Drosophila melanogaster: one gene and its partners. The protein of the gene in region 1 interacts with the protein of each later gene in a pairwise test. Each region holds a gene or a part of one and is shown in the gene's direction. Other genes may lie near its edges.

Region 1 (5,001 bases):
TCTATGCCGATAAAAATGACCGGCAACTGCAACGAGGCACTCAAGTAACCACTTCTGTATGCACGCAGGGATCTCTCGAAACCGGCTTTCAACTAGGCAAGCAACTTAGCCGGCCGGCTCTTTTGCCCCTAACCCCTTTCGAAACCCCTTTGTCCGCAGAAACCCCCTTCATCAGCGAGGTTCAATGGGATGCTGCGTTGGCAGTCGAAGAAGAAATGAAGAAAGTGCGCATTCAAAGTACGTTTTTGTTTAACAGTCGTTGAGGCTCTTGAGAGACAAAAAGCGTGATCTCTTCAGAGAGTTGCATTATCATGGGCTTCGAGATGTGATTTCAAATCAGGCATTACGAAAACATTTCCCTGATCAAAAAAGAAAAAGACTCGAATGTCCATGCCTATGCACCGAACCGCCATGAGTGAATGTACACCGAGCACGCACACCAAAAATAGAGCATAGATAAAACTCAAATACATATACAGTCTCTATATAAAGGAGGCCCAACCACAATTTCGAGTTCCGAATAGTCGAGCCTGAGACTGCATTTTTGAGCAGACTTGGTTGCATTCAGCGGTTTCCGCTTGTCTGGGACAGTTTTGATGTGGGTACGACAGATATCATGTGGGTCGAAACTGGCCTGAACTCTACATGCATAGATTGGAAAAGAAAAAGCGACGAGGAAAATCAATTTCAATGCTTCATTAGTTGAGTATTTGAAATTTTGAGCCTCTTACGCAGGTTTAGGTGTTGATTTCTATTTTAATAATGGCCTTACGCGCGAGTTTTATGGGATTGATGAGGAATTTTAAGCTATAATCACTAATGACTTGGACTATTTTTAATACGAATGCATTTATAATCAGCTGATAACTTATCAAAGCAGATAAAGTACTTTTTGAGACATAGACTTAGGTTTTATAGTATTTATTATTTATAAAAAATTTCAATTAATATAGTTGCATATTTTCCTTTTTTATTACCAAAATCGATTAAATTCGAAGAGCTTTTTATAAGTTCAGCAATGAAAATAGACTAAAAGTGTCTCATTCACGAGACCCTAATGGAAGGCCTAATTGATTTACATATGTCAGGGGAGCACCCTCACATAAAAGAAATGCGTGGGCAGACACATAAAACCAAAACCCACTCACAAATGAGTCGAGTGGTGAATAATGTCCCATATTCAATTGAGTGCGGAAGAGGCCCTTATAAATCTGTGTGTGAAATATCTTTTATAATAAAAAACAATTTAACTAATAATACCAATTCTAGTTCGTAAGGCTATAAATATTGAACTGAACAGACCAGAGGCTATAACCTATCGACTTCGATAAGATAAATATTTAAAAAGCTGAGACGGAAAAAGTGTTTGCCAAACTCCTTGAAATTCACTTGAGCGCCACGAGGCTCAGTGGGAAATTTGATTTTGGGAGATGGGATGCTTCCCGTGCATGTGATCATGTCTCGAGGGGCTGACACCCGTTTTGACTTTTGTCACCGCCAGTGGCGCCAAAACTAATCAAAGCAACTAGGACCGACGCTAAATCGAAACCACAACTACAATCACTGCGGAATACCAAAATGCAATCAAAATATGCAAGCCACGTCGATCAGGAGAGAGAGAGAGAGTGAGAGAGAGACCGGGGCTATTCTAGAAACCTAACGCGAGTTCAGAACGCTGAATTATGTATACCCTTTAAAGTACTAACAGAGCAGAAAACTTAACTGTTTTATGTGGTCGTTCATTAGTAGTAAAAATGGGATGATTTTATTTTATTCTGCTTTACTGTTATTTCTGTTTTCTGTTTTTATATACTGGCCTCTTGAATATATAACATTCTGATAACATTACAAACGCTCCACTAACATGTCTATATGTCTTGGAAGGGAATTCAAACAACCAATCTCTCTCTTTTTCTTTTTCTCTCTCTCTCTTTTTCTGTCGCCCCGATCAAGTCTTAACGGCAAGTTGCAGCAACAAACATTTTCATTCGTTTTCGCATCGTCGAAGCGTACGGTTCATAGGAGGAACGGAACGAAGCGGGGAACGCGACGGAAACTAGTTGCTGTTTTTTTGTCCGTGTTAAATAATTGACACAAGAAAATTTAGCTACACTTAAGCAAAGTCCGCGAAAAATCTATTAAAAATCGTTCGTCGTTTTGTGTGTGTGACCACGAAAAAAGTGCCCCGATCGGAGGATTTTAATAAATTCAATTAAGGTTCCGTCCCAACGATCGTTTTTCATTGTCTGACGCTCACGCGTGATGTACAAATGAAAAAGTAAAAATTTAAATAAGATCAAAGAAAGAAAGATCACAGTAAAATTTAAAGTGGATTGACTGCACAAGAAAAAGAAAAGTTCCTTACCTCCTAGCCAGAAGTCAAAAGTGAAGCGGAAAACAGAGTGGAGATAACAATTAACGGTTAGTTGTAAAGCTAAAACTACACAATAAACATATCATGAAAAACTTTATAAAACATAAGAAGGGGGGCATTTTATTATTTTGGGTATCAGCATTTACATCACCTTGTTTCGAATCAAACTGATTTTAACATGCATTTGGACCAAACTAACAACGTTTCGAATGTTATCTCTTATGGAAATGGTATTGCTATATTATACCATCATTAATTCCGATTCCACCTGAGATTAGCAATTAATATGAAATTTCATAAACATATATTATATATTCGGATCATGCATTCTATTTACACATTACTTTCCAATTAAACGTTCATTTATTGCCGCGCTTCGATTAGCAACAAAAACAAATCGTTAATTTTCTATATTTTTCCACAGGGGCTTCCATACCAAAGTTCCTTGTTTGTAGAGATCATTGTAATCAGCGCAGATCGAAGCCATATATAAAATGATTTCGCACAGTCCGCCCATATTCAGTCACAGTCCACCCGTTAGTTTTCTGGCGGACTTCATGAGCGGACATCCCCGTCAATCGTTGAAGTAAGTTTACAAAAGTATATAACTCATAAATAAATATAGCCAGCAATTGGACTAATTTAACACAGAATTGCTCTAAGTGAATCCACGAGTTTCGGCAGCCAATCAAAACAAATTAAATAGCCAAACATCATTGAAAGAGTACCAATTCTCAGGTTTTTTCATGTCGAAAGAAAATATTTTTTTAACTTTCTTATCGATTGATAAGGAACTAGAAGCATTTTCTGATGCATCATCTTTTATGAATTTAACAAGTGGTGTACGTGTTAATAAGAGAAACGATATAAATGTCTGATAACCTGAAAAACCATGTGATAGTAAATGAATTAAACTGAGAGATAAAAAATACATAACAGATAAAAATGATTAATACCCTTTTGCATTAGGCGTTCTCTCTGGCGAATATTTAAACAATAATTTTAAACATTCAAATTTAAAACAAATTTCAAAATACCCAAACATAACCCACATTAACAAAATAAACAGACCGGAATGCCGTAATTCCATTTAATGAATATAAGAACTCAGTTGTTTACACAATCCAGAAAAGGAATATTATCGATCTCTCGAGGGCTGCCCATATTGATTCACATGAAACACCTGTTTCAAGTGTCGTCTATGGAAATTTTAACACCTGATCAAAGGCAGGAAACATGTCTTACCCAATACATAGTATTAAAACCTGAGAACTATTCGAAAACACAATGAATGCAGGTACTAAAAATATTCGTGCTAAGGCTCGTTTTTGGTTGACAACAACAGATTGGCAAAATATGAAAAGCAAGCATTCAAGATCAAGGCAAGACAGAATACTGAACCAAAACAAACATTTCGCCGATTCTGAGGTGATCTTTCGCTGGTGGAGCCAACTGAGATTTGAAGATTCGTTCACGAGTCGTGGGGGTGACGCCAAAAATTTGCTTGGCGACAATTTGCGCGTGGCGCTTGACGCAACTTTTTTTCTCAGGGGCACACGAGCAAGCCGAAAATTTGACAAATTGGTAAAGGGAAGAAGGGTAATATCTATATATTATATTTATACAGAGGCGAGAGCAATTGATTGAATTAAAGCAATTTGCCGTGCTTCATTTGCTGCACGCGCTGCATTTTCATCATATTTGTTGAGAGTATTTTATTTTTGGGAATGATAAATATACAATACCGAAAATTCGTATAACTTATATTCGTATATATGAGGACTTCAGCTAAAAATAAATCTATATCTAGAGTATGGCCAAGCAAAACAAACGCTACAAGAACCGGTAAAAAACTAAATAATCAGTTAAGATTAAAGAGGTTCAGTAGATAAAACTGTGGGAGGTAATACATGCGAAAGCCCTACTGCGATCCCTACAACTATGAACATTTCTTATCGGGGCACGTGAGCGGCATGCCTTCAAACAAACCGAGTACTCCAACCAACTCAAGTAACTCAGCTGCTAATGCGTCAACTCACTTGAAATTTCACAGCGTGATTTTACAACAGTTTACCCCACCCAATACCTAGAACTACCCACGTAACTGGGCGGGTCGTCATCGAAAATGATTGAATTCTTTTGGTTGCCAACTCAAGCACTAAATATGCTGATATTGTCTCCAGACAGCGCCAATTAGCCAAAAAAAGTTGATGATAACAGCAGAGCAGACGGAAATGTTCCCATAGCCAGGCCCACGCCGAAAAAGACGTATCAGCATGCCGTCAACATATGTTTAGCATGCAAAAGTCCACGCGAACCCCATTGAACGATCCTTATCAACCATTGACTTTTAGTTTTATGAATGTCTAGCCGAAAAATTATGATAACTACAAATGGGATGTGAACTGTGCCAAATGAGTAAGACCAGCGAGTCTCTCCGACTATACAATTTTAGAAATGACTCACTGAAGAACCCAAACAAATATGCTTCATATTCATACTATACATTTCCCACCCACGGCAAACCCGAATTAAGTGAGGAGGTCGCGCGCAACTCCTCTTATCAGCGATGTTTCTTTATAGACAATATACACGTATCAGTAGGACTACACAAGTACAAGTACAAA
Region 2 (6,118 bases), on another chromosome or scaffold:
CTGGAAGAGGTGGTCTATCACCTTGAGGAGGGCTACAAGGAGAAGCTAGGGGCACTGGAGCGAGAGCTCAAGCAGCTGAGTGTTCAAAAGGTGCAGCCAGAGCCTGTGCAGACTGTGCCAGTTGCCTCGAAAATACCCAAGCCGGTGGTTCGCAAGGAGGAAACCAACATTGATCGGATTCGCAAGCAGGTGGAGAGCGAGTTCCTCAAACAGAAACATGACGATGACACCTATTCCATTGAGGAGGCGCCACGAAAAGGTTCGGAGAAACCATTCCCACAGCTGGTGACCCAAGTTCAAGTGGTGGAAAAGGAGCAGCCAAGTGCTGGAAGTTCGGACAGCAATCCGACTTATACGAAATCTCCAAGGGAACCTGCTCCTAATAAGCAGGAAACGAAAGAAGCCACGGACGTAAGCGATAGTCTCAGCCAAGAAGAGACGGAGAACGAAGAGGAGCGCAGCCTGACAGAGGAGGAGGGGACCGATGTTCCCACCTCCGGGTCGGAAGCAGCACGAGAGGATCCAACGCCAAAAACAATCAAGCCTTCTGGAAGAATCATCAAGTGAGTGTTTCGATGTTAAGCTTTCTTAGAGTAATAATAATCCACATGTTTTAAGGAGCCCTCAAAAACCACTTACTCGCAAGGATGCCCGGAAGATGGTCAACCGGAAGTTGATGTCTCACGGCTTCGATATGAAGTCCAAAGGTATTTCGCATAACTCTTTGAAGAGAGTGAACTCCGAGCTGACAGAGCACCGCAACAAACTGAAACTGGTAAGCCTATAACTGCCAAAAACTAATGAACTTTTGACAATTCTGGAATACCCTTTAGCAACATCCACATTTTTACGCCACTCGAAATCGCATCCGCAAGTTTGTCGAAAAACTGTGCTCCGCCAAGTTCTCGGAACGCGCGGAAATGTTGCTGAAGCACAAGAGTCCACTCAAGCCAATGGAGGTTCCAGGCAAAGGGATCCCGAGGTCTGCGATCTCTGAAAAGTCTGAAGAGGATATAGCCAGCTCTCAAGGCGAAGAGCAGACGGATGAGCAAACGGATAGCAGCGAACAGCAAACTCGAAGCCCCAGTCCTCAAAGACTAGTTAGTCGCGATTTCAAGGCTCGTCTGGAGGAGATCCTGGTCAAGCCGGCGGCCACTATTCGAGGAGCTTCCAAGTCGTCCCTGAGTTCGAGGCCAGTTCCGCTGCCCAGGAAGCGGGTGATGTTCAACACCACGGAGGACGGGAAGAGCTTCAATGACAGCGATGATAACCTAAAATGAGTCAATAAAGATGATATTATAATACTTTGGGTATAAATGTCAACGATACGTTTAATAGCCAATATATCATAAGATAATTATATTCCTTTATGAGTACCTATCACCTGTTCAATGTACCGTACTTAACTAAAAAATATTGTTTTTTAAATGAATTTGCATATTCCGGTCACACTACCTTTTACCGATAGCTGCGCGCCGTGCAATGGATAGGCAATCGATAGGCAATCGACTCGCGCTGTAAACAATCGACGTCACTAACCAACGTAGATGAAAATTTTTTAGTACGTCGCGAGTAAAACGTGCATTAAATGCAATAAAAGGGCAGCTGGCTAAGGATCGGAACGATTGAAGTCAGCCAACCTCAGAGGGGTGAGCAACCGAGGCAGTGAATCCGCGAATCCGTGCATCCAGCTGACCAAAGGGCGAGATTAGCCCAGCACCGAGTTTCCATCCGCACACGGACACGGCGCACACACACACAGGCACACGCAGCCCGTGCCCATCGATGAAATAACATACATAACGAACGTATACCGAAAATACACGGGTTACGGGAAATAGCAGTTGCTGCAATCGGCGGATAAGCGAACTTCAGGAAGCTGAGCAAGCGGGCCCACAAAGATGTCGGATATCATGAACATCGACAGTATCATCTCGCGCCTGCTGGAGGGTAGGTGTTAGGGCTCCAACTTTTGATTACCTTGCCCCCACCCATCATCACCCATTCCCCACATGCCTTGCCACCCAACCACCGCCCACTCTCATCACCTTAACGTAAATTTTCCCTGCTTGGTTTTCCATTGCAGTGCGCGGTGCACGACCGGGAAAGAATGTTCAGCTATCAGAGAGCGAGATCCGCAGCCTGTGCCTCAAGTCCCGCGAGATATTCCTGTCGCAGCCCATACTCCTGGAGCTGGAGGCACCGCTGAAGATCTGCGGCGACATACACGGACAATATTATGACCTCTTGCGCCTGTTCGAATACGGCGGCTTTCCGCCCGAGTCAAACTACCTGTTCCTGGGCGACTATGTCGATCGCGGCAAGCAATCCCTGGAGACGATATGCCTGCTGCTGGCCTACAAGATCAAGTACGCGGAGAACTTCTTCTTGCTGCGCGGCAACCATGAGTGCGCCAGCATCAATCGCATCTACGGGTAAGTGGGGAGGCGGCTCCAAAAACAGGATGAAGCTTGATGAAATGGTTAGCAATCTGTTCAGTTCAGCACCGAAACAATTTGCTTTCCTGCTTAGATTACTGAAACTCATTTGATTACAATTTATATTATTCTTACGACTCGTATTTACTTCTGATGACTATGTACTTTTATACATGCTATAGAACTTATAGTTGTTTATTGTTTACGTGAGCTTTAAAAATTTCCCAGACATATTGATGTCTACTTATGCTTCCAAGCTTATTAATACTTTCTAGTTTATTGACGCACACAACGATATCCATTACAATTAAATTAGCCATACTTCAAATACATAAAGTAAATGCCACATTCTATAGCAATAATCCATAAAATTACTCAACTAATTGCACTTAATTGGCAGGTTCTATGACGAATGTAAACGTCGCTACACCATCAAGCTGTGGAAAACTTTCACGGACTGCTTCAACTGCCTGCCGGTGGCCGCCATCGTGGATGAGAAGATCTTCTGCTGCCACGGTGGCCTGAGTCCAGATCTGTCGTCCATGGAGCAGATACGACGCATCATGCGTCCCACAGACGTGCCCGATCAGGGACTGCTGTGCGATCTGCTGTGGTCGGATCCGGATAAGGATACCATGGGCTGGGGCGAGAATGATCGCGGCGTGAGCTTCACATTTGGAGCAGAGGTGGGTTCTTCGCATTACACTGTTCGCCACAATGTTGTTTATGCATTCGCTCTTGCAGGTTGTGGGTAAATTTTTACAGAAGCACGAATTTGACCTGATCTGTCGGGCTCATCAGGTAGTGGAGGACGGTTATGAGTTCTTCGCCAAACGTCAGCTGGTGACGCTCTTCTCGGCGCCCAACTACTGCGGGGAATTCGACAACGCGGGTAAGTGATCATTGTTCGGGGACTTTAGTCGGAGATAAACCTTGTTTATTTGGAGAACAACCACGTTGCACCCTTGTACTCGGTGATTTTGCCTGCCGATAAGCTGTCGGCAAGTGAAAGCTGGCAACCAGATTTAAATTCAACTCGGAAAATGCGCATTTAAAAATAATCAATAATCAATACCGAGAATGAAACTACCTATGCACGACACCCGCTTCTAATGAATTGATTAATCATTATTGATTACGTTTACAGGTGCCATGATGTCCGTGGACGACACATTGATGTGCTCCTTCCAGATATTGAAACCCGCCGACAAGCGACGATTTGTTTATCCCAACTTTGGCAGCTCAGGACGTCCTTTGACACCGCCACGCGGAGCTAACAATAAAAACAAGAAAAAATAAACACTGCACACCTCGAACGAAGCACAACAACAACAGCAACTACAAACGGCCACACACACAAAACACAAATAGGGAAAACAGAAAGGAGAATCCGTGTGTCCACATTCAACGGAAAGCGCAGAGAGTTTGTTTTTATCATAAACGTGTAATCGAATCGTGAGCAACGTTATATGGGGAATATGAATCTACACAAATTAGCCTATCTTTCATTTGAAAAGGAAAAAAAAACAAAAACAAATAAGGAAAACGAAACGAATGAAATGAAATTAAGAAACCAGAAAACACAAATCGAGACACTTTAGTTCAAACTAATGGTAGTGTAAGACACTGCATAAGCAAGAATATTTTATCTCCTAATGTATTAATTTTGTTATAATATTTCCTTGCGCAAAACCCACACACTCACACACACACACACACATACACATGCTCAGATCATCCGTACAGTAGGTACCATAAGTGCACGCACCGGTTGTATTTTAATTTGCATTTCCAACTCGCACAGCATTTTAATTATGTATGCCGATCCTGGCGGCACCTTTGGCAAAGGTCTTTAACCACACTTCCCTTCTTCCTTGTTTTTTTTTTTTGCGTATCTAAGGGAATATTAGCAAATGGTAACAATGTTAAATTTTATGTTAATTAAACTGTACGAGAATGCTTTTAAATGTGAGTTGAGGTTACTACATATTACATATGTATGTACTCGAAGCACGATTTATTTTTGTAATATTTGACATCGATACATGTTTACTTAGTTTTAAAACGAGGAAAGCAATTTTAGTTGCAAGCTACAAAAGCTTGAATTGTTTACACCAAAAATATTAAAATAAACAAATATTGTGAATATTTTTTAACTGTTTGCATTACACAAACACACACATACAGGCAAGCACGCACACACGATTTTAAGGAGAACCCTGAAAAGTATGTTTATATAGACAAAAATAAACCCGAATTGAAAATCTACCTTAAGGCGAACGCTTTTGAGCGGCACTGTGTGCTCTCTGCTGATGTCAGCGACGAGGCAGATAATGTTACCCCCTTTTAATCCCCCGCCCAGACGAAAGGAAAGCAGCGGCCCCAGACCCATTAAGTGCATGTGAAACTCACACGAAATATAGAAAAAAAAATCGAAACAAAAATAAGCAAGTAATAAAATATTTGTAAACAGCAGCGCAACAAACACAGACACAAACACTGTTTATCGTACAAGTGTACACTTTTGTGTATTTTGCATTCTACGACTAACGTCGCAACATTCTAGTGCTAAAGGCCGCCACATTCAATTACAAGTATTATGCCCAGGCAGGCAGGCAGCGATCCGGAGCGATGCAGCCGGACGCAAGTTACCCAAAATGGTTTCGTTTGTATAATCCAATCCAATCCAATCCCCGCCCGACAACCAAGCAACCTACTAACAACAATCGTGTAACCTACGGACAAAAAAAAAAAAACAAAACCAAAAGCAAAGCATGAGTCCTCTTCTATTTCACACTCTAGTACTCTGTTCAATGTTGTAATGAATTCAACGTATATTTACGACTATATATGTACTTGTAATAATGCGATCCAGTACGACATCGGCTGTTTTCAACCCCCAAAAAACACAAGTCATAAGAAATCTATAACGTAATATCGTAAAATTAAAGTGTAATTGACCCCAAGAAGGAAATTAGAAAAGACAGATGGGGTAAATTTATAATGCATTCAAAGCGTAAATTGCAAAAAAAATAAAATACAATAAAAAAATAACAAACAAAAAAATCATTTAAAAAAGAGCTAAAAAATGAAACAAAAAAATACAAATTAAACAAAATGAACACAATGACGAAGCACTTGTAACAAAATAGCACTGTTTTATTAAAAAAAAAATTGAAATACATACTAGCAATAAATATGAAATTCGAGATGTGTTTTTACTTGAGTGAAATGCATGTTAGTTTCTTGTTTAAAAAAGCAAATCTATTATTTATTGTCTATATAGTTGGTGTTACAATCTAAAGCATTTCGAGGACTTTAAAATCTTATTTATAACTTTACTTTATGTTGCTTAATATATTGCACTAAATTTACTTTGTATAGCACTTTGTGTTTAGTTATATCGCAGTGAGCAACTCTTTCCCAAAGGAGCACATGTGCCACCCGTGCCCCTGCCATGTCGCTCATCCTCCTGGAGCCTCAGCTGGAGCAACTTCTGCCTTAAGGCATAAGGTGTGGTGGTGGTGCTGCTGCTGCTGCTCCTCGTCACTTCCTGTTGCCTGCTCTCATTGGCGCGATCTTTGTTCCACTTGTCCGAGTTGTTGAAAATGATTTTATCATATGCCCGCTGCAGGCGCAGCTTATCCTGGCGGACATCACTGAAGCATTCGCTTGTGTTC
Region 3 (4,079 bases), on another chromosome or scaffold:
AAAAAAAATAAATAAATAAAACAACGACAAGTAGGAAAAAAGTTGGCCGCTGGCTGCGCGTCTGGCGGATATAAAAATAAAATAAAATCTATTAGGTGGCGAACCACCCCACATTTATGCGGCAATTTGTTGCTCCTTGATTGTGTCTGTGTGCGACGGGGTGTCCTTTCCGTATGTGCGTGTGTGTGTATGTGTAAAAATAAGTAAAGTAAAGTGTATCATTTTCCCATTTGGCGACCCCTTTTCGCATTTCGCCCCTGTACACAGGCACTTCTCGCACTTTGTCTCAATTCCCAAAACTGTCGCCCCGGCCGTTGCAATTTATGAAGATTTGTGTGTGGCCAGGATGCCAGCGCAGGGTGGGATGCCCAGGATGCAGGACTCTGAATATCACTGGCTCAGAAGCTCAGGGCTCAGCACTCAAGAGTCTTGGCCCACTCCCACTCCCACACGGTTTCGTTTCGACTGCACTTGTTTTGATTTGTTTGGAATAATAACAGATGCTTGCCGTTCATATTATTCATTGTGGAAATTATTAGCGCTTGACAATAAAAATGGCTATTTGAACAGCACTCGAAAGTGAGTGCGCCCCCTTACTCCCCCTCTCACCGACAATCCCCCGCCGCACAACACAAATTGCAATTTGTGCAAATATTTATGTACATTGAAAATTACTCATTTGTGTAACACCAATTAATTTCAACAAACAGCGGCGGGCGCACAACAATGGCCAAGCCATTTATAAAACTTGGCCGCTTGTTGTTGGTCCCTGTTGTCCTTGTTGTCCTTGCTGCCTTGCTGGTCAAACAAATGGGGGAAAATGAGGTCCTTTGTTTCCCCAAAATAAACGATGCCGCTGCTGTTTGAATGTTTGAATGTTTGCTTTGCGGTGCGCCAGCACACGATACACACTGTACAGTGGAGCCCTTCGCCAACAGCCGACAAAGCAGTTCAATCAGCTCGAACAGCTCGCTATTTATGTAATATACTTATGTGTACATATATATATGGTATATATATGGTATGTATGTGAAAAATGCGGGGTTATTGCCTCATTATTGGGACACTGGAAAATACCCTGTTTACACTGCCATTTTTCAAGTTGCGCCAACAAATTGCAGCTAATTAGTGGCCACACTAGCCGGGAAATCCGACGAAATAAGCTCATATACAATATACCAAAACCGGGGTGCACAGCAAATGGCACTCGGCAACTTCAAGTTTTCCACTCAATCAGAGATAATATGAACAAATGGGCGAGGGTCAGACGAGGGTCGGCACACTTTTCCAGGGGTGACCAACTTAAATAATACCTTTCTAGTACTGCAAACGCGGGATGTAAGACAGCTTATAAGGATGGTTAAGGTATCGTTTATTTTAGTTTAAAACCTAGAACATGCGAAGAAAATACAAATAAATGCGTTTATATAATATATATATTTTCTATTGTAAAAGTTTCTGAGAAATCACTATACCATCACATTTCCATGAAACACGAACTGGAACAATGCGATGTAGTCACTGACTTGTCTGTCGTCGATTTGTCATTCGTTTAGTCTTTGAAAAGTATAAAGGTCACCGTTCCGGAATCAAAATTTTTTTTAAAATTTTTAAGATACCGCAAAAGCGCGAATGTAGAGTATTAAAGTGCGTTTTAGTGAACAGCACATGTGTATCCGATCAGATCCTCAATTTTCATTAACTTCCGGAGAAGCGAAATCGAAAAAAAAAAAACACGATCTAAAGACGACTGCTAGTACAGCACGCAGAGGTCAAATGTCTAGATTCTAGAATTTAGATTACAACAGCTGGACTTTGCACACCACTAGAAGGAACTTAGAGAAGGTAGGGTAATCGATTTCAATCGATATAGCTAATCAAGCTGTCAAACCTTTTTCTTTTCACTTTTTCTAGAAGCGAGAATTTGTCCTACATTTTTATTAGGCATTTTGTGAAAGAATCAAAAGAAAAAAAAAGCTGAACGCTAAACAATTCACCGCCACATATCGAGAAGAAGCAATTCCATTCGGTTATGTTCTGGTATTGAGCACCTGGTATTGAGTAAATCGAAAAATTCACAAATCATCACAAAAAGTGCACGTCATCAGGACATACATTTTGCTGCACCCAAGAAGCTAAGTTTGTGACCCAAATAGACCAGCTCCGCCGAGGATCCAGTCCCATTCTCCAGACAGCCGCGATCTCAGGGTGAGTCCCTGACAAGCAGCCCCAACGGCGTCCCAGACGATTGTCCTATCCAGCCCGGACAACGCAGCCGCGGCCCCCAAGACCGAGGCCATGGCGGAGGTTCTCAATTTGGAGAGCATAATTTCCCGTCTGTTGGAGGTGCGTGGCGCACGGCCTGGCAAGAATGTCCAGCTGTCGGAGGGTGAGATACGGGGCCTGTGCCTCAAGTCGCGCGAAATACTGCTGGCACAGCCCATACTCTTAGAGCTGGAGGCGCCGCTCAAGATCTGCGGCGATATCCATGGCCAGTACTATGATCTGTTGCGTCTGTTCGAGTACGGCGGCTATCCGCCGGAGGCTAACTATCTTTTCTTGGGCGATTACGTGGACAGGGGCAAGCAGTCGCTGGAGACCATCTGCCTGCTGTTGGCGTACAAGATCAAGTATTCGGAGAACTTCTTTTTGTTGCGCGGCAATCACGAGTGCGCCAGCATTAATAGAATCTATGGATTCTACGACGAGTGCAAGCGCAGATATACCATCAAGTTGTGGAAGACATTCACGGACTGCTTCAACTGTCTGCCAGTTGTGGCCATTGTGGATGAGAAGATCTTTTGCTGCCACGGCGGACTGAGTCCGGATCTTACCTCGATGGAGCAGATCCGTCGTATTATGCGTCCCACCGATGTTCCCGATCAGGGACTACTCTGTGACCTGCTGTGGTCCGATCCGGACAAGGACACCATTGGGTGGGGCGAGAACGACCGTGGCGTTAGTTTCACCTTTGGCGCCGAAGTTGTGGTCAAGTTCCTCCAAAAGCACGATCTGGATCTGATCTGTCGTGCCCATCAAGTCGTCGAGGATGGTTACGAGTTCTTTGCCAAGCGCCAATTGGTCACTTTGTTTTCCGCCCCCAACTATTGCGGTGAATTCGACAATGCTGGTGCCATGATGTCCGTGGACAATACACTCATGTGCTCCTTCCAAATCCTGAAGCCTGTCGAGAAGCGCAAGAAGTAGAGGACAGCGAGATCTGTAGACGCTTCTAGATTTATTCTTATATATTGTAACACGCGGCACGCGACTCATTCACAATATCCTACACGAAATCGGTTCGAAATCATAATATCCACATACATCTCTAGTCAACCGGATCGAGGGAAATGGCTCAACTACAACGTATACCTCCATGGATCCTAACTGTCTTCAGAGGTATCCACTAGCCAATTCTTGCATATTGTATGATATGTGTAAGTTCACTGAGATTTGAACGCAGAGCTTATGCTTAGCTAATGCAAAATAACGCCATATGCGACTTTTACAAAAATAAACTTACATTTAAAATTTCAAGTGTTTTCATCTAATTGTTGTTTTTTTTCGATTTCCTAATTAATCTTGTCAGCTAGTTTATCCAACTCTTAATTTAAGCACCTTTCCCAAATGTGGAAGCCCTGAAAAGTGTGCTACGAATTCCGGCGGAGTGAAAAGTGGGTGATCCCCCTGAAAAAGAGATTCACCTCCATCTGTTCGTGTTCGGTGACAGAAGTCACCGCCATATTATATTAACAATGCTTAAAAATTAACAAAGCACACGCACACACATGCACACATGCACACGTAAAATGAGTGGGCGATATGGGGGCGTAAGAGAGAGGGAGCGAGCTGGCAGACAGACGACAAACAAAAAAACAGAGACAAAGATACAACAAATTGCGCCAAAAACGCTTTATTATGTCAAAACAAGATGAAAAAAAAAACAATAGAGAAAAGGAACCCAGTGTGGCAACAACAAATTACATTATATATATAATGAGGTCATTAGCGCGTAAACAATCAGAAAAGAAAGTGGGCAATGAAATACAAAGGGTGGGAGCGAGATGGCGGTAGAGCGT

What was found. The genes of interacting proteins can lie anywhere in the genome.
Region 2: the proteins of Gbs-70E (region 1) and Pp1alpha-96A interact in a two-hybrid assay, tested with the Drosophila melanogaster proteins (2 studies listed by BioGRID).
Region 3: the proteins of Gbs-70E (region 1) and Pp1-13C interact in a two-hybrid assay, tested with the Drosophila melanogaster proteins (one study listed by BioGRID).

Annotation. Positions count from the first base shown.
Region 1 is NT_037436.4:14,547,957-14,552,957, reverse strand, and holds the start of Gbs-70E (glycogen binding subunit 70E), read left to right. Parts: upstream 1-1,982; 5' UTR 1,983-2,421; intron 2,422-2,798; 5' UTR 2,799-2,868; coding exon 2,869-2,960; intron 2,961-5,001.
Region 2 is NT_033777.3:24,516,758-24,522,875, forward strand, and holds Pp1alpha-96A (protein phosphatase 1alpha at 96A), read left to right. Parts: upstream 1-1,512; 5' UTR 1,513-1,901; coding exon 1,902-1,950; intron 1,951-2,086; coding exon 2,087-2,435; intron 2,436-2,838; coding exon 2,839-3,124; exon of another isoform or gene 3,125-3,182; coding exon 3,183-3,330; intron 3,331-3,585; coding exon 3,586-3,737; 3' UTR 3,738-5,574; downstream 5,575-6,118. Other genes in the region: DZIP1, read left to right, coding at 1-563, 619-775, 834-1,280; CG13622 (uncharacterized protein), read right to left, coding at 5,833-6,118.
Region 3 is NC_004354.4:15,358,557-15,362,635, reverse strand, and holds Pp1-13C (protein phosphatase 1 at 13C), read left to right. Parts: upstream 1-1,574; 5' UTR 1,575-1,845; intron 1,846-1,914; 5' UTR 1,915-2,298; coding exon 2,299-3,207; 3' UTR 3,208-3,535; downstream 3,536-4,079.